Linked DNA regions of Schizosaccharomyces pombe. The protein of the gene in region 3 purifies or fractionates together with the protein of the main gene of each other region. This does not show direct contact. Each region holds a gene or a part of one and is shown on either strand. Other genes may lie near its edges.

The links.
Region 1: the proteins of las1 (region 3) and rix1 purify together in Schizosaccharomyces pombe (affinity purification with mass spectrometry, with the first as the bait; one study listed by BioGRID). This does not show direct contact.
Region 2: the proteins of las1 (region 3) and crb3 purify together in Schizosaccharomyces pombe (affinity purification with mass spectrometry; one study listed by BioGRID). This does not show direct contact.
Region 4: the proteins of las1 (region 3) and grc3 purify together in Schizosaccharomyces pombe (affinity purification with western blotting; one study listed by BioGRID). This does not show direct contact.

The regions. Positions count from the first base shown.
Region 1 is NC_003421.2:435,290-440,265, forward strand, and holds rix1 (ribosome biogenesis protein Rix1), read right to left. Parts: upstream 3,231-4,976; 5' UTR 3,135-3,230; coding exon 648-3,134; 3' UTR 515-647; downstream 1-514. Other genes in the region: hdd1 (metal-dependent HD domain-containing phosphohydrolase), read right to left, coding at 3,775-4,371; rib2 (bifunctional CMP deaminase family methyltransferase/riboflavin-specific deaminase), read right to left, coding at 4,765-4,976.
Region 2 is NC_003424.3:2,309,723-2,313,928, reverse strand, and holds crb3 (rixosome complex WD repeat subunit Crb3), read left to right. Parts: upstream 1-2,000; 5' UTR 2,001-2,037; coding exon 2,038-2,235; exon of another isoform or gene 2,236-2,357; coding exon 2,358-3,368; exon of another isoform or gene 3,369-3,411; coding exon 3,412-3,543; 3' UTR 3,544-3,658; downstream 3,659-4,206. Other genes in the region: teb1 (Myb family telomere binding protein), read right to left, coding at 1-183; SPOM_SPAC13G7.09C (uncharacterized protein), read left to right, coding at 904-1,311; arb2 (argonaute binding protein 2), read right to left, coding at 3,714-3,799, 3,841-3,931, 3,983-4,206. UniProt on the Schizosaccharomyces pombe protein: Required for both pre-rRNA processing and heterochromatic gene silencing. Component of the RIX1 complex required for processing of ITS2 sequences from 35S pre-rRNA.
Region 3 is NC_003423.3:4,352,027-4,356,149, forward strand, and holds las1 (rixosome complex/ Las1 complex endonuclease Las1), read right to left. Parts: upstream 2,085-4,123; 5' UTR 2,050-2,084; coding exon 637-2,049; 3' UTR 517-636; downstream 1-516. Other genes in the region: rpl3201 (60S ribosomal protein L32), read left to right, coding at 1-253; sec27 (coatomer beta' subunit protein), read right to left, coding at 2,542-4,123. UniProt on the Schizosaccharomyces pombe protein: Required for both pre-rRNA processing and heterochromatic gene silencing.
Region 4 is NC_003421.2:2,181,653-2,187,940, reverse strand, and holds grc3 (polynucleotide kinase Grc3), read right to left. Parts: upstream 4,342-6,288; 5' UTR 4,135-4,341; coding exon 4,101-4,134; exon of another isoform or gene 4,024-4,100; coding exon 1,847-4,023; 3' UTR 1,219-1,846; coding exon of another isoform or gene 787-1,218; 3' UTR 552-786; downstream 1-551. Other genes in the region: protein mug128, read left to right, coding at 787-1,218. UniProt on the Schizosaccharomyces pombe protein: Polynucleotide 5'-kinase required for both rRNA processing and heterochromatic gene silencing.

The DNA.
Region 1 (4,976 bases), on a different chromosome or scaffold from region 3:
TGGTATCTTCATATAAAAAAAGTCTATTTGGAGAATTTTGGATCCTTCAACAAATTTATTTGAAGTACTTAATGTTCTTTCTTAATTTTTCTCATAAAACCATGTGTCAAGCAATGAAGGATTTAAATATTGTTGGCAAAAGAAATGTTGCAATCACTAATTCAAGTTTGTTTAGAAGCTTGCATTATATAGTTATCGACTTTTCTTTTGCCTTTGGAAAGGGATATCTTCATTATTCTTAATGAAACAGTATAAAATTCTTTTAAACACTAGACTAGATAAGTTGTTTTAATTCTTTCTCAAAAAACATAAACGACAGTCTAACTCTAAAATAATCGGGATTTTTGTGACACCAATGGTATAAAAATGATTAATTAAAAATTTTTGCGGATAACACAAGACTTTGTACTTTGTATTACTGGAAAATTTAGCTAATTAAAAAGGAGAACACATAAGCAATGTATTCTGGAGGTCAAAATCAATTGATTTTAACCTCCAAATATCAGCTTGATGTACCTTTTTTGCCATGACGATAATACATACAGGACTTTATAAAAATCAGCTTGGATTAAATGACAACCTACTTATCTAGAAATAGAATTTAAAATAAACATTCAGTACCCCCAAATCCTTTTTATAAATTAAGACTAACTATCACTATCAGATTCCAAGTTTATACTTGGCAAAGAGATATTGTCTTCCTCCTCATCATCTTCTCCGTTTCCTTCCACATTAATAGAAGTCGTTTTCTCATCTACGACATCCGTTGTTTTTTCAAAAGTTTCGACGACTGAAGAAGTTGTGTTTCCATTTTCATCACCATTTATGTTTTCAATTTGGCTTGAAACTACACTAGTAGGTCGGTCAACAAAGTCAACGTCTATAGCAGTAAATTTGGTTTCAGTGTCCTGAGAATTGTTTAATGCAACATTTGTAGTCTCCTCAACCTCAACATCTCCATGCAACAGTGAAACAGTTGTTTCCTTGTTTTCCGAAACAATGTTAATGTGATCAGTCCCGTGATTAATAGTTGAAGGTTGAGAAGAGTTGATTTCACTACCTTCTTCATTTCTGTCACCCTCATTAGAAAGAACATTAGACATAGTCAGCTCTGATTCGCTTCTTTTGTTCTCGGAGGTAGCTGTAGAATTATTCTGTAAGCCTGTATCTGTAGATGCAAAAGACTCTTTGATCCCTTCAATTTCAGTGGAATCTGTAATCGACTCTGTTTCAAAGGGAGGATTTGATGGAGCCAAAATACTACTTTCTTTATACTCTGATTGAGAATCCACCTGGGGTGGAGAAATATGCGATTGGTTTTCAAGAGAAACAGGCTCAAATCTTGACTCAAACGTATTTTCAAATTCGCTTGGTGAAAGATGTTTTTGCAAAGGTGGGAACCTAGGATGAATCAGCGATTCTATTGTTTGCATCGATGACCTTGCGTGTGAAGCGACCAGAGGATCTGGATGTACAAGCCCTAATGGACCAGAAATTATACGTATTGCATGAGGTACTATCACTGCTTGTGAATCTCCCGGTGATAAAATTGACGCAAGGAGTAAATTATGCATAGATATCAAAACTGTTGAGGTAGGGTTAGACAAAGATATCTGCAAGGTGCAAAGATCTATTTTGGTCCGTAATAAACGTGGTAATGCTATTGAATGAGTCAAAATGGATGCTAAAAAAGAAAAACAACAATCCATGACATCTGAATCATAAAGCTGATGAGACTCTTCCGAACTCATAAGTGTATCTCCTGCTTGACTTTCAGAAAGTGTTTTTCGCTTTTTTTGAGAATGCCCACGATTTTTAGAGAACTCTATGGATTTGGATGCTAAACCTTTAGAGGAATTAGCAAGATATTCTAATACCAGCGTTACAATATTTTCGTATTTTGAAAGAGGGACATTCATATGTGTCACATCCAAAAACTTTGAAAGTAACTTTAAAGAAGAGCATAAAACCCCAGTATGTGTTGACTCAGAAAGTAAACAATCATTTAATGAATCCAGGTAAGAATCAAATGAAAGAATGATAGCTGGAGGAATTACCACAAAAAGCTTTAAGGTTAACTCATTAACTAGCGTATGCAAATGAGGAAGGACCATGAATAGCAAAGCTTGAACTGAACTTTCTACGCTTTTAACAGGCAATGAAAGTTGTACAGTATAAACACGTTGAATTAAATCCTTCAAAGCATTTATGGGAAGCAAAACGATTTTATCCGTCTTTGTACTTAAAAAAGAAATTAAAATCAAGTTTAGAGTTCTGCATCTGTGTAAAGCTTTCTGATAAGTTTCTTCGTAGTGGCCTTTGAGTTTTGGAAACATCAAATTCTCTTCACGAGTTGGGTATGTTTGCGGTTCTATAACAAATTGAAACAAAAAATCCAAAGTAAGATGATATTCCTTTAGGATTGAAATAATACTTTGCTTCCAATAGTCTTCAAAATTTCCTTTCCCCACACATCGATACAACGAAGCATAAAGAACAGCTGCTTTCTTCTGTAATGAAGAAGGGACTACTTCTTCCCCATCTAAAATTTTAATGCAAATATTCCTTATTGAGGAAACAAATGGACGAAAGGTAGGTGAATGCGAGATGATCCCTTGATACAAACAAGAACAAACAGTACAAAGACACTTCCCAGATTCGGCGATTCGTAAGCAATTATTCACAAATGTGGGTAAATTAGGAGTCACCAATTCTCTTGTAACTGCTGGTCTTCCTACAGTAGAGCTAAACATTTTTGATACGGTTATCATGGCAATCTCCAATGTTTTAGGAGTTTCTGGTCGGTTTAACAAAGCAATTAAAAGTTTTGCCCAAGTAGCTCCATGCTCTACTAAGCAATCCCAACTTTGAGAAATAGTGCAGTGAATGAGAATAATAGCTGACCAGCGAATACGAAAGTCTTTTGATTGTAACATTTTTGTTAAACTCGTGCACCAATTCTTGCGAACGGAAAGAGCATTTTCACTCGTTCCTAATCTTTCGATACATTTTTGATGTACCAGTATGTCCGCTATTTGAGGCACCTGAAATGGTAAGTCTTCTTCATTCGCAAAAGTTATTGCCAACCAAGATTTCACAAGAGGAAGAGAGCCACGTTCTAATAAATCACTCATCTAAGATTTCTTTATTCAACGGAGTAACAAAAAAACAATATTTCCGTTTTCTTAAAGAAATTACTTGCTAAATCTCGAGCTTGTGGTGTAGGTTCTGAACTACTCGTGCGTTAAGGAAAGTCTTGCTAGGGAGAAAAGGTTAAAAATTTTTGAGAAGTAAAATCCTTTTAAACTTGAGAATGTTTAACTCAATATTAGTATTTTATAATGACCAAGGAATGTAAATTACCTCAAAGCTTAAGTCTACAAAAAAATTCAGATAGCAAAGTGATTTTATGAACTTCTTGAAATGTGCTGTAAAGAATTCATTTTTTATTGAACGAATAATTATAAAGAAACAAGACTTAATCGTAGATGTATTTAAGTTATATTTAGCTAAGTTGGGAGAACGTAAATGATAGAACCTAGAAAAGTAAAGCATTTGAAGAGTAAAAACATATCAGAAGATAGCACCATTAAACTAAGCTCTAATGTTGAACTTCTATTAAATGTATCTATGTATAAAAAAAAAGAGAGACTATTGGTATATTGAATAATGGGCCTTGAAGATACTAGAGCGAATTCCTAAGAAATATTTCTTCTTAACTGTTTCTCTCAACTGCACACTTAAATACAGGGAAAGTATCGCTTTTCTTATCAGTTAAAGCTTCTTTTGACGGACCGAAGCCCAAAATTGCTCACGCTCCTGTAACACATCATTGAGCCAACCTTTAACAAGAGGATGTTGAATTAATTTACCGGCCCAAGTGAACTGTGACAAATCTTTCTCACCATTAAATTTCCTTTCGTACTCAAACATTTGAGCAATCATTTCAAATTTATCAATGTCCTTGACAAACTTAGCTTCGGGAGTGGAAGCAGACTCATACTCTAAAAATAGCTCTTTAATCTCCTCAGCTTGTAAGGAAAGGTTTAAGGGGATCAGTTGCTGGGTGATAGAAACCATCGCTTCCGACTCCATACGATGCTTTTCCTCTTTCGAAACATTCTCGTGAGGTGTTATATCACCAACAATTGACTCAGCCATATCATGCACTACGGCAATCTTTAGACAACGTTCCTTGTTGATGCTTGGGTCATTACATAACATAGTCAAAATCCCCATTCTATACATATGGTCGGCAATGGATTCCGGCTTTTCGATGCCATGATATAGCCAGCCAGTACGTGGAGTAGTCTTAAGCCTTGACAAACAATCTAAGAATGGAACAATAGATAAAGATTTGGCTGCATTCATTTTGAAAGGGGAGTTAAATTTTTTTCTGAAAAAAACAAAACAGAGTATAAAACGGATAAATCCAAATTAAATATTATAAAAACACAAAAATAAAAAGAAATCCAAAAAGTTTTTAACAGCAGATTTATACAAATCAGCCACTTAGGCCAACGCAGGTGGTATTTGCTCAGGGTAAGTGAAGAAAGCAAAGAAGGAAATTATTTTCGATTTAGAAATCATAGAAAAAAGAAATCATTATGTGGGGAATTTCGTGTTATTTTAATTTAATGATCAAAAAAAATGATGAACTATGCATGGCCTAAATAGTCTCTCAGAAAAACGATAATTTAGGGTTGATAGTCATATACCAGCGACGTCGTCTAAATGTTTAAAGAATAAAAAAAATTAATAAAATTAGTGCTTTGGGGGGTGACCACGAACTGCTTCACGTAAGCAATCGTCTTGAAAAGTCAGTTTCTCGATAACAACTATTCCAGCTTTCTTGAGTAAATCCACACCTTCACATTTTACGAATATATCAGGCTCCAGAGATCCCAAAACTACCGTAGAAAACTTTTGCTTAACAATAAGATCTGTACAAGACACTTTTTTTGATAACCGCTTGC
Region 2 (4,206 bases), on a different chromosome or scaffold from region 3:
TTTCTCAGTCCATTTTACTCGAGGCTTTCTCACTTTCGTAGGCTTTCTCTCGAATCCTGGAACATCTTGAGCTACCTCCCTTTTAGAGGGATTTTCAGCTGCCAAAATGGACCCATTCAACAAGTCGACAGAATGCTCATCCATAAGATCTGATGAAAACCCTGGAGGTTTCATAGACCTCATGGTCAACTTGATTACAAAAGAGAAGTTACGATATAATTTTTTATGGGGTTTTTGGTTATGTACAAGAAACCTTCAACAATTCCCTAGTGGTGACTCTAATGTACAATTAGATGTTTCAACGCCTATATATATATGCAAATGCCAAGTCAGGAAATCAATAACAAGAAGTTCGTGGCCCCCACATTGGCCACCATAATGTTGAGGTGAGTAAACAAACCAACAATAGGTTAGCTAAAAGACAGTTGATACATCTTTATTTTTTATAAACATAAAAATCTTAAAAAAATACAGGTTATACTGAATAGACATACTCTGAATTGAACTAGCTTAACATTTAATTTTCAAATTCCAGAATGGTAAGATGTTTAAATAACTGACCAGCTTGTACATATAAGCAAAGTAGTAACTAAATGTAGTTAGTATATCAGTTTGGCCTAACGCTAATTCTTAATGCCGTAAGTTTGAAAAATATTAGCTATCTGTTTGTAACTAAGATTCATTTGATGCTTACTGAATAATTCGAATAAATCATGTGTACTTAGCATATGCCTTATTTCAACATTTTACCGTGATGTGGGATCGTGCTGATTTCTCATAGTTTATACACTAGGCAGGAACACCACCACTTCTTAATTCCTGCATCCACACTTTATCCACTTAATTATTGCCAAATTACCTAAATGAAATGATAATAAATGATTTACATTAATAATACTCATCATGGAATCATCACTTGACAGACTCAACTTTGATGAGTTTGTTGCTAAACTGTTAATTCACGAATCTAAAAAAAAGAACAAGTCGTTTGTCGACCATGGCTATATTGAAAAGGAAAAAACAAAACTTCGCCCTAATAAAGTTTTTTTGAATAATATGGTGAGAAATGTTCAATCCCATAATCGTGGAATAAATAATCGGAGACGTGACCAAAAGCGTAAGCAACTCATAAGCATTAAACAAGATAACGATTTAAATGTCTCCTCAGAAAGGTTGTCTAGGAGAATCGATGTTCCTCGGCCCACTAGTAAGAAAAAAAGACTTTATAAAGAAACGCCGGATTTAGATGAACCGGGGTCTCGTGAAAAGCGTGTTAGCCAGAAAGGGCAATTAAAAATTGAGAAAGTTTAATCTTAAATTTTTAATAATGTCTCCCAGAAAATAATAACTATATTTCTTCATTTCTGATTAATCTCTTTGTGTGGTTTCATTTGGGGATTTTATATATCACCACTTGAGCTTATCATTATACATTATACATTTTTATCCAAAAACGAATATCATTTAAAAATATCACGTTCAAATCCTTCAATTCCTATGCCTTTTGATTGAACCGTTTAGTTATTTTTAACAAACTTTAAACGGATGATCCTCATATTGACACCGAAATTTGGCTTAATCTATATTTATACATGCATTAAAATATTGTTACAAATGTTTAAGAATTAAATCAATTCTTCTGTTAGCAATAAAGTAACCTTTTCTTGGTTAATTGAAAAGCATTGCATGAAATCGTGTAGCGAAAATGTAAACATTAAACATATTTACACCACTAAAGTCAGAAATTTTCCAACAGTATAGTCGAAATCAATATACGTTTGATTGGGTACAAATAAAACTAATATAGTTTCCAAACAGCCCATTATATCAATTTGGAAACGTAAATAGCTGACTTAGATAATTTGTCTACAATTATGCTTGCTCTAGAAAATAGAGTAAACAGTCATTTTAACGAAATGCGGTTGAATTCGGTTAATTTAGCAATGTAGTCCAACACGACTTTTCTTGCAAATTTCGCTTTGTTGCTAACATTTCAGTTCAGCGATTTGCGTTTATTCAACACGCATTTCAAGGTTTATGGAGCTGCTTCTTTCTGGCTGTGAAGCTATTGAGGGTGAACCAAGTAATGTTCTATGCCACAATCTACATACCGGTACCCTGGTGAGCACATTCCGTCAAAGCTCACCTGCTAAAAACGCGACATGTACTACTTTGAATCATTTGCTATCTGCTCAACATACCCGTCCACAGCTGAATATTCACAATTTTGGAAAGGTAGGTTCTCTCTGCACTGCATTAGTTGTACGCTTACTTCGTTTATAACAGCAGTTTTACAGCTAATTTCAAGCTAAAGTAGCTAAACACATTTTAAATGAGTAAAACTAATACAAGTGTAGGAAATTTTGGATCAATCAATCATTTTACCTGAAATACTTATTTGTGTGCAATCGAGTCCTTGTGGTTCTTGGCTGGCAGCAGGCACAGAAAAAGGAAATTTGTACATATGGTCATTAAAATCCGGTGCTCTTATTTATTTCTTCAGAGCACACTACCAACCTTTGACCATTTTGAAATTTTCCAATGATGGTATGGTTTTATTCACTGCTTCCAACGATGGTGATGTATTCGCTTGGTTGATAAGCACTTTGGTAGACCAAAACTCTACTTTTGAAACAAGTAATAGTTCAGTTAAAGCGATTTCTCATTTCTCTGGTCATAAGCGTTCTATCGTGTCTATGGAAATTGGCCCTGGTCCCATCGTTAGTGGTCGACTTTACACGGCTTCGGAAGACAACACAATAAGGATTTGGGATGTTTCTACAGGAAACCTTTTGACAACGATTGCTCTTCCCTCAACTCCCAGTTGCATGACCGTGGATCCTTCCGAACGTGTTGTCTACGTTGGTAACGAAAAGGGAATAATATGGATTCCATTATACACAGGATCATCCACTTTTTCTAACAACGTTAAAGAGAAAAAAAGAGTTACGTCTGTTGATAATACTACTATTCCAAACGCCATCGGAGGTATGGGTCGAGTTGTAGATTATAACGACAGTAGAGAATCAAGTATTATATCGTGTCAATCCCCAATAACCACGTTGACTGTTTCCTTTGATGCTTCTCTACTCATTAGTGGTGATAAGGATGGTAATGTTTTGGTTTGGGATAGTGTTTCTCGACAAGTTTTGCGCCGCCTCGTTCAGTATTATTCGCCGGTCTCTTTTCTTCAATGCAAGGTCGACAAGATATCATTTTATTCAAACTCTTCACTTTCTTTTCCAGTTTTAAAGCGCATGATTACAAATGAGTACTTAAATTCAGATGTTCGAATTTGCATTCAAGATGATGGGGTAGAGCAGCTGATGCAACCGGAAAATATTCTCAAAATCAGCTCTGATATTGTCGTATGTCCACTTCTTAAAGATTTTGAACTAACATAATTTTTAGACACAAGGCTCAGAGTCCAGTTGGCGTGCCAAAGCTGAAACCAGTGAAATGCAGCTCAAGGAAGCAAAAAGATTATTTTATGAATTAAAGCAAATTCATCAAGCGTTATGGGAAAAATACCTGCAAAAGTAACTTTTTTTGTTAGGTTAAAAATTTGAATAAAATTATAAGGGATTGGAATAATTACACTTTTGTAGCAACGGGGTTCTAATTGTTGTAGCCCTTTTGTTATAATCTCATTGGAAAATTTTATTAAATATGTTGAATTAATTTTTTATCGTTAACTATTTTGTTCTCTGTCTTCAGCTTTTACTTGTATTAGTGTCGAGAGCAATCATCTCAAGCAAAACATCGCCAATGTAGTCATAGAATTCATCGATATATTTTCCTAACTTGTTAAAATTTTGTTCTAAGTCAAGGTTTCCATACCTGCTGAAAAGTTAGGTATGCCGCTTTCGGTCATTATGCTATTCATTAAATGTCGACAAGGCTCATGTGAAGGGAGATAATTTCGTGCATGCTGAAAGTCTTAGTTATTATTTATTTCCATTTGAAAAGATTATTTTCTCACTTCTATCAGGTAGCTAACATAGTCGGGGTCATGAAGCTCTTCATTAATGCTCATATTCATAATTAAAAGTATAGCTCCCGCTTTGCCAGAAAATTTCTTCCAATTCAAGTCCAAGTAAGAATTCAGCAAATACGATCCATATTCAGAACCCACAAAGTGTATTTTAGTGCTCACTGAATTGGACATTACATAGTTTAACCCTATTGACACATAGCTCTCTGGAG
Region 3 (4,123 bases):
TGGTACTATTTCAATGCCCAAAATTGGATATGGTAACAACAAGAAGACCAGATATTGCATGCCTAATGGTCTCAAAGCTTTCCTTGTTCGCAATGTCTCTGATGTCGAACTTTTGTTGATGCACAACAAGACTTATGCAGCCGAGATTGCTTCCAATGTTTCTGCTCGCAAGCGTGTTGAGATTGTTGAGAAGGCTCGTGCTTTGGGTGTCAAAGTCACGAATGCCGGCGCTAAAGTTCGTTCTCAAGAATAAATTTAAAAAGCTATTCCAATCTCTCATAAAATTTAACATAAGTGGCCATGTAAAATGGGTAAATTCCCAATTTCGTAATAATGTCAAGTAAAATGTGTTGGTAATATAAGTATATTGTTCAGATTATTTGAGTCGTATTCAATTAGAATAAATAGTCTCGTACCTGCATTTACACGATATAAGTAAGTCGCACGTCTATCATCACGTGCAACCTATTATTCAAAACGGCATCTATTGTACTTATATTTTACTTAATTTGCTTTGCCATACTCAATTCAGCAACTTAATATTATTATTTTAGACCCAAGATTACCCTCGTGTATATAGACCCAAATAAACTCTATTCAACCTAGCTTTCCTTATATACACATATAATTTTTTTTTTAACTTTCGATTATTTGACCGATGGGGGATGGCTCGACGCTTGGTTTATACCACACATGACCTTGAAACTCCATAGTACTGGAGTCAGCTTGAGCTTCAATGTTATTTAAACGAACTGAAAATTTATTCAATTCCGTTTTCATTTGTTCTAATGTTATGTCTTCAAACTCTTGTTCGTCCAATATTCGGGAATCAAACATATCGCTGCGGTATTGAAACAAGGGAGAAAACTTATTTTCCAGCTCTTTATCTAGAATTGACAATTCATCAATAATTATCTTAGTGAAGGGATCACTTCTTTGAAGACATATTTCTAAAACGGAAGCCAAATCTGTTTGAGTCACAGATAAAGTACTGGTCCATGGCTGACCTGTATACGCTTCACGCATTAAATAAGCATACCATTTTGCTAAATAGCAACCAGCAGATTCTTTATCGGTTAATTCTTCTTTCTCCTTGAGGTCTAGAAATACCAAAGAATCAACGGTTTGGCTAATCTCTAAAATTTCAGACCACAAGGTTGTAAATAATGCAGGTAAAAAGAATGAATGCTTCGAAGCTATACTTTGTAACAGAGGCAGCCATACATTTTTAAGCTTTGGAAAAAAGCTGATTGGCATAGTTCTGGAGGGTATTAAAACACGCTTTTCCAAGAAACAGCTGACGACAATATCTAGATTTGTAGTCTCTATTGCAAAATCCAAATCTTTTTCATCATCGACGAAAGAAGCTGGGATATAAGGTAACCTCAGATTAGCTGTTGTTACCAACTCCTGTACTAATGCTTCAAATTGTTGAATATAGTCATGTTCCTCTACTGGTAGAAACATATTTGCAGAAACATTAACCTTTCTCCAGGAACGCCATTGTTTCAATAAGTCTTTGACTTTTCTTTTTATTTCGAACTTATGCAATTCATTAGTTTCGGTGTAGTCATATGTATCTTCGGATTCAGCTGTTGCAGCGGGATTCCAGTAGTGATCATAAAGCCATGATAATGCTCGTTGCGCAGCTTGTCTTAAAACAGGTAGAGAAGGAAGTTCTTCATGAGTAATGGCGTGTCTCAATTCGACAAAATAAGTAGGTAAATCAATTGATTTGGCTAAAACAGCCATTGGGATGGCGTACTGCGATTGCTGGATAGGATCCAACAAGCCACTTACAAATCTAGATATTGAAACAGCTAATGCTAGCTTTTGCGATCGGTCATTACTTATTAAAGATGAAACTAATTGCGACGTTGATTCCACTGAATGGGGAATACGACCTCGGGTTGACCAAGCCTGAATAATTTCAACACCTCTAAACAAAGCAGCTAAATCAGGTATTCCTTCTTGTCCTTCATTATAAAAGCAAGACATTAAGTAAAGGAAATCTTCCTTTAATCTCCATGGAACGACTTTCATGTCCATTTTTAAAAACTCATGACAAGTGTTGGTAGTTGGCTAAGCGATACTTTACTTATAGACATCACATACGAGAGGAAAATCCTGTATTAGCTTTTACAGTATATTATTGATACGATTTGGTAAAATTAATTAATTCATGTCTGGATATTTGGTATGCAAAAATGCACTTTGTTAACTATTCATTTCTGTCTCACTAACACTTGTAGTGTCAAACTTTAACTATTTGAAGCACTTTTATCACAAAGTAAATCGATATTTTATGATGGCTAAAATGTTTATAACCGGCAATAATATCTACAAACGAAAGGTGGTAACAGCATTGATATTTGCCTCAACCAGAAGATGTCGTATTTGAAATTGTATGTGAAACGTACGACCGTACGGATTCGTAACACAGATTGAAGGTATTATCAGTATGCAAATTAGGAAACGTGAAAATATTACTTAGACAAATACTGTGTCTGTCAAAATACTTGCGTTCCAATGTTGTATTACTTAATTTTTAAGTTCCAAGTCACCCAAAGAATCCGCAATGCGTTCTTTTTGATTCTTAGTTAAGTCAACTTTCCATTCTGGAAGAACATTTTTAACCTCGTCAGGGCAGTAAGTAGCAGCAAACAAGTTAGCTTCAGGATAACGTTGAGTAGATGTAAGTATATTGACGCATTCCGCTGGTTGATTTGTAAGCCATGAGCAGATGAAAGCTGTATTATTTATCTTTGTGGACTTAGTGAGTTGCGATAACTCTTTGAGACCCTCGTGATTGTTGGTTGCAGTATAAAGTAAAACCAAAGATCCATAATCTTTACCTTTCTCAAAGCATTCCTGAGCTAAAACAAAATCCCAAGCATTCAAGGCAGCATCACCCAAAGAACGCCATTTCAGAGGATCATCTAATTCTTGAGCAATTTGAGAAGCAATATCCAATCGTTGAGCGTCTAATGCAAGTTCAAACCGCTGTACAGAATCACCAGATAACTCTAATGCAGCTTCCTTGTATCCTAAACGGGACAAAAAGTCAGACAAACGAGGACGGTCTGTTTCAGAAATTTGCTCCAAAAGACCTTGAGCAGCCTCTAAATCGCCCTTTAGTACCAGTGATTGATATTCAATAATGGCAAGGTTGAAAGAGTAGCTCACTACATTCATATCACGATCCGTGAGGTAAATACGATCGTCACGTGGAATATAGCCAAGCAAATAAAAACTACTTTCAACGTTAGCGATTTTGTAAGTTTGGTCACCGATCAAGTAGTTTAGGCGAGCGGCAGTAGTTGTGTAAATGAAAGTTTCAGCAACCCATTTGCCATTTACTACGCTTTCAGAAACATCAGCAAGTGCTTCAAAGGAATCAGCAACACCTTCCTCTTCATCTGCTGTACCACTTTCCACAGCACTATAAAACATTTCAGCGTTAAAACCGAGAAGGTAAAAGTCATCATCACAAGCTAAAATTACAAATCTGCCATCATCATTCCAATAAACTCCTTTGGGTTTAACATCAATTTTACGAACTAAAATGCCAGTATCCCAATCATAGAAGCAAATAAAATCACTTCCCACAACTCCCAAGAGAAAGCCGCCAAAAATCTTGTCGCAAGAGTAGGACAAATCTAATCTATTGCTTTCTTTAAAATTCTTGTGAATTACGATTGAACGGTCCGATGTACGACTACCGTAGACATTAGAATCGGCAGACCAAGCAAAATCAAGTGCTTTGCCATAAGCTTTATTCCGCCAAGCAAGAGCTGTATAGACAATATACTCACCATTGCCACATACGGAAACAAATCTTCCATTCGGTGAATGTTTCAAAACAGCAGGATACAATTCCGTAGTACCCAATTCTTTCACAGAAAGACTGATAAGAGAGCCATCTGTAAGATCGCTCTGCTCTTTTGCCGGTCTAATCATAGCGGACATAACTTCATTATAGTTAGACCAAACAACTTTTCCTGATGAATCCATAGTAACAGAAGGCTCGTCACGGCCAAGAGAGAAAGTTATGAGTCCATTGTCAAAACCGACTGTTACCAAGCCATTGTCCTTATTCTGCGCAATGCACCAAGCTCGATCT
Region 4 (6,288 bases), on a different chromosome or scaffold from region 3:
ATTGGTTTCTTTCCTTTTTGTTCTATAACCATTTACTTTAGTTCTCTGAGCTTATTTTTTAGAAAATCATCCACTAACTATATGTCTCTCTCATTGCTACAAGATACAATAGCAAATATGAAGAAGAGTCATATCGAATTTATAATGCTCACTCTTAGTTTCCATAGTATGTGTTAATAAGGCGTACTTCTAGCAATTATGATTGCAGTAGGAGATTTAGAAATTATCGACTTAATTGAATATCAATAACCTTTATCTTTTTATTGTTGTTACTTTCAATTATAAAAAACTTGAAACAACTTTTTTAACTGAACTGACAAATTTTAGGTTCATCATAACGACTTTGGGGATTCAATTAAAGTCATTAAGTATATGAATGATTAATAGATTTACTGTTTAGCTTTTATGAAAATAAAAAACTAGTAATACTCACATGCATACTATTCACTTCATTGTTTACACTTAACTATTTACCAACAACTTCTTTAGTCACGTAAACTTCAACACTACCAAACGAAGATATAAAACATCTGCAATAATAAATCAGTCAAGGTACTAATTGATATATTGCTTTGGTAATATTACCAATTAAACATTCTTTTATATTTTAAATTTTAAAACAACACTCTTAACAGCCGCTCGATTCCATTTTAAATGCACAATTTTATAGCGAAAAGACTATTCAGGCCCAAAAACAGGCGCTACAAATCTCTCAAACGATGCGTACGTTCGGCGACGTATCGAATTTATTGTAGAATGGTCGACTGTCTGCAAAGCATCATAAACATGGAATATGCCAATTTGCATTATGTAAAGGAATCATCAAACCTTGAGCGTTCTTCAACTTACAAGAGCTCAAAAATTCAAGATGAAGCAAAGCAACTGTTATATGATTATGTGTACATTAAAGAAAAGTTACTGACAACATCTTCAAACAGCTTGACTCATTATCAATGGTATTTAATATACAAACATACGTGTCGCTGCTTTCAACAAGTCGTTCGTATAGTCTATTGGTTTTTGGGAAATCAAGTAATACGAGAGAATTTCAGTATCAAAAAAAGAAAACCACACAATCACATTCCCCAATTGCTAGAACAGTGCACTTGCATAGCTGAATCCTTCGAAGGGATTTATACGAAAAAGCAAATACTATACTTCAAATGTTATGGCACTTTCAAAACGTGGAAAAAAATAGCCAATTTTCCTCACCTTTAGAGAAAGGAAAATTGAAAAGTTGAATGATTACATACAGATACACAACCATTGAAAATGTACTCTGAATAAAATCAAAAAAACTCAACAGCAAAACCATCTCTAAAAGTTAATTAAAATAGTCAATCGGTAATCCGGAATATCGAAACCAAGCTTCAAACCGTTAGTCAGAATATGCTAAATTACCAAAGTAGATTCTTAAACATAGTGAAAATTCAAATGCCTTATAAATTTGCATATACAGTGTAGAAAAACTCAACATACCAGTGATATGGCAGTAAGTATGAAAGTATCCTAATGCATAACTTTTGCTGCCAACAAAAGACCATCGGAGCTTAACCATCGATATGCAGTCTCGCAATAAGCATAGTACTCAATGTTCCCAGACCAGTTCGCCGAAGAACGTAAATTGTACTTGCATTGGAGTAATCTAAAACAAATTCAAATCACGATTTTTTCTTAAGAAACAATAAATATAAATAAATTTCACTATTGTCCTTTTTAACCGCCAAAAAAAAATAAGAAAAAGTATATTTCATATAGTTTGTATTCAGCTGCCCAAAATAATTTCTAGCAGGTATGCAAAAAGCGTAGCCGTCTTCAGAAATTCGTAAAACATAAGATTTGGGTATCATCCAACGAAAGTACTACGACGGATAATGTTACGGCGAACGCGCCTACGATGAGCGCCAACAGCCACCCGATCGTGATTTCGATCGAGGTATGGCAATTCCGAGTATTGTGCTAAACGGTGATCCAACATTGCGTACACTGGAAGCTCTAACCTTCCTCTTTCAAGGACAATTTTCAAGCTCTTTGCATAGGCATCTTTAATAAGCTCAAGATTAAGAGGACCAACAAAATGAAATTCGTTACGTTTGAGATCAATAGTGCGTAGCACGATTAAACCTAGGCAATGAGACGTATTGGGATCCAAAGGAAGTCCATCATTGATGATTAATGGTATCCCTTCAGGACTACTAACAATCCGTTGTGTGTTACTGTTATCTAAAGAGGCAGTGTCGCAGGCATAAAGTGCCATTAAAGTACCATTAATAGTTTTCGCGACATCATTAACATTAAGAGGTTCACCTATAATATTAACAGCATCTATTCCCTTAGAAGATCCCTTAAAAGCTGTGGCTATAGGTTGACAAGCTGTCAAACTTGTCGTAAAGTCCCACCTCTGTAAATTGCAATTGAAATACAGATAGGAAAGTAAGCCTAACATACGATTATCAGCAGAGGTAACCTTGTTAACGTTGGGATCAGGCAGATACTGCCAAGTTGATTCCAAGAGGGTAAGTTGAAACTCATCTCTGCTTGAAAGAAAATCAGGCATATATTCTTTGTGCTGGTAAATACTCTTTTTTTCACGATGACTTGATTTCATGTCTTCACGACTCATGTATACAACTTCTGTTGGTTGACATATATCAACAATAGAAGAAAGAAGCTCAGCACCACCCCCTCTGATCCAACCTGGACAATTTATTATCAAAGGAATAATCTCCTTTTGGGATATCTCTTGATTAAAAATATAATCTTTATATTCAGCAAAAAGACGAGTAACACAAGCAATGTAATGATCCGGATCTTTCTGGGGACTTATATCTCCGAGATGCAAACGTAACATGTAAGTAGGAAAGAGCATTCGGGCGAAAACAGGTCCTTGCAATGGTGAGTTAATATAATATAATGAAATGTGCCCAGAAGGTACGACTTCGGGTTGACCAGGGTCGAGGTCAAGATATGCAATGTGACGATACTGCTGTAAAAGCCTATTGGTGATGTATCGTGAAAAACTGCTTTTACCGGATCCTTTAGGTCCACAAACCATAAGACGAGGAACAACATAGTCTGACTTGGAAGTGGAAAACAGTAACTGGTTAGAAAAAGAACACCAAGACTCCGGAGTTATCTCAAAATTATTTGATATTGATGAGGCATCTTGCAAAAGATTCTTAAAAGAAAACAAACGCTTTGCAAATGGAAGGACACGAGCTATCTTAGAGAGACCATTTTCATTTTCTCTAAAAGCTATTACAGTTTCAAAATTTGGGAGAATATCTTTGGGCTCTAATTCATATTCATGCTCTTTTGGTGAGTAAGAGGGAACTGCAAAGGAACGAAGGTTAAGGGAATCTTCTTCATATTCGGAAATCTGCATAGCAGGTAATGCATTGTCTATAGCAGAAAATACTGGTGTCGCAAATGCTAACGGAGCATTTAAAGGAAACCAAGACATACAAGCTGAAGAATAGGTTGCACCAAAGAGCTGAAACTTCCCTCTAACGCTACGAAAAATGAAGGTACCAACCATTGCTAATTTTTGATCTTTATGTAATCCAACGTATAGCGTATCTTTAACCCTGAATGAATTTTCTTCCGTAATTTTAATCACCGGAATGGCATCGTTAGACGATTGTGGGCTATGTGGAACGTTTTCACTTACGGTTTCGTCGTCCAAGTTTAAAGGTAAACTCGGAGAAATCGTTTGAGGACTAGCAACTGAGAATTCAGAGTATTCCTGAGGATTAACCTTGGACCTATTTATATCAGGAGTTATTTCAGAATCATTCTTGGATGACTCTGAATGGAGCTTTGTTCTATGATCAACTCCTGGGACAACCACTTGTACGAGCGTGTGCTTGTAAGAAGGAAATTCGCCTTCAGTTTTCATTTCGTCTTCATATTTGTCTTGGCTTTCTTCTTCCGAAACGCTGCGCTTTTTCCCCGATGAATTGTCTTTCTTTCTGGCTGCTTTACTTAAAGTCAATTGACGCACAGCGAATGCACTGAGTGGAACTGTCATAGAACTGTTAGAATATTATCCTAGAAAAGATATAAGAGAGCCAATACTTAAGACTAACTAAGACACTTACCATTTGAGCTCTCAATACGTTGACGCTTGACCATTATGGTAGAAGCTTATTAAATAAATAACTAAGTTTTCCTTTTTTTTTTTAAAAGTGCAATTCACACGAATGTGAACAAGCAAGCGCTTTGGATCTTAATTCAATTAACAACAATCCACCATAAACTAACAATCAATAACAAAAGTTAATTTAGAAAATTTAGCTATGTTTTGTAAACAGATAATAAAATTTTTTCTTCTTATTGCACAGCGAGAAAGAGTAAATAGAGGAAATACCAAGTAAAGTACGATATCTGTAATTTGGGAAATAGTGATTAACGGTATATTTTTATAACAAAATGTAACAGCACGGTATTCCTTTTTTGGTAGTAACATAACGATAATACCAGCTTGCTTTAACTAGTAGCTTCTTATTAATATTGAAACAATGAAGAATTAATCGTTATACCTTGAAAAAAAGGAAAGAATATAATACTCGTTAAAAATCAGTTATTGAAGTTAATAGATATTTAGACTATAACTGTAGTGATAATTATAATTGGGACGAACACCCGAGTTTTTTTTATTCTATCAGTTGACCCAACAGTTAGGTTATGAACTGTTGCTTTCGATGTGGATAAAAGTATTAGAATATAAATCATTAGTCTCTTTGATTTATATATTGAAAATTTCCACAAAATATGTGTCAATCAAAGTCATATCGCCCACTCAGCTTATGCATCATTAGGAAACTCAACATAAAACCAGTATATACGTTTACTGCGTTATTAGATATTCACTATTGCAATGTGTCTTTAGGTTATTACTATAACAAACCATCGTTCTGAATCACAATATTTTATTATGCTATTCATTATTTTGTAAACATTAATTTTGTTTGAATTGAACCATTAAACAAAAAGAAAAAATGATAATTAAGCTTGATTCATTAAGAATCAAGATGAAGGAGAAATGAACGTAATAACGACAATGAAATTGTGAATTTAACAAGGCGGAACAACGAGTTTTTCGATTTCATTAGTTGATTTTAAGTTGTCGTAAACAATTTAAATCATTATTGTTTGTGACTTGAGTTCCATTAAAAAAGACAAATAATTAGACTCGCATACATAATAAATAAAGACTCGGTCCTCAATGCACTTTATCCAACATCGTAGAATACATTGGTTGGCAATTTTTGGTAATTGAAAGAATAAGTTAAGCATATATTCCATAACCTTATAGTGAAAGAGGATGATTAAAGAAAATTGGTGCTTATTTTTAAAAAAGCCGCAGCTTCTCTGCGTTGGTAATTTTGGTAAAGAGGTTTTCCAACTGGAGCGACAACTACATTAATAACGCAATTAGACTTCGCTTTCAACTTCCATTTCCCCCAAGGGAATGTCATTATTATCGTTGGCACCTCTAATCGCTCTCCCTGCACCTTCTAATCGGGTAAGTAAAGAATCATTCATACAGTTGGTTGAATACACATACCTAATATAAAAGCTATACCATTCCTGATAAATTTGGGCATCCTTTTGAGAGCACCTGGACATTCTGATACGATTAGAATAAATTACAGGAATATTAAACAAACCCATTTCGTAAAAGAAAAGAAAATTGCCTATAACAAAGAGTGAAGAGGCTACAATTTCGTAGCCTGTCCCGTCGATATGTTTGTCAAATAAATGCATCAAACCTTTCGTTACAATAACGACACAACTTTGTACACCTAGAACTTGAAAAAACCCAGAAAACATATGCTTAAGTGTCCAGAATGGAAGACGAACTGCGTGTTAGCGGTCAGTAATGGTAACTACATAACTTCACATACCATATAATAAAAATAAAAGTAAAGCAGCTGAAATACTGCATGTAGAACAGATGAGAGTCTTGTCTAAGTTCACATTACCGAATTTGACGCAACCAAAGAGTACAAAACAAATGACTACCCATAATAACCAGATTATTACAACCCATTTTTCCCTTGAGTTGTACAAGCCGACCGCAGTTACCTTGACACATTGTGCCACTGCCTGGTCCAAGTTTCAAAGAAGCCTAATGAGTTAGTGAATGAACGTAAGAATTGACCTATCGTGTCACTTACACCATAAAGAAATAAAAATCATCAGGCAAATAGCACACCACACTCCAAAATATACCCATTCATCTTTGCCATAATCTTTAAAGAGAGCGTCCTTATACGTTAGATA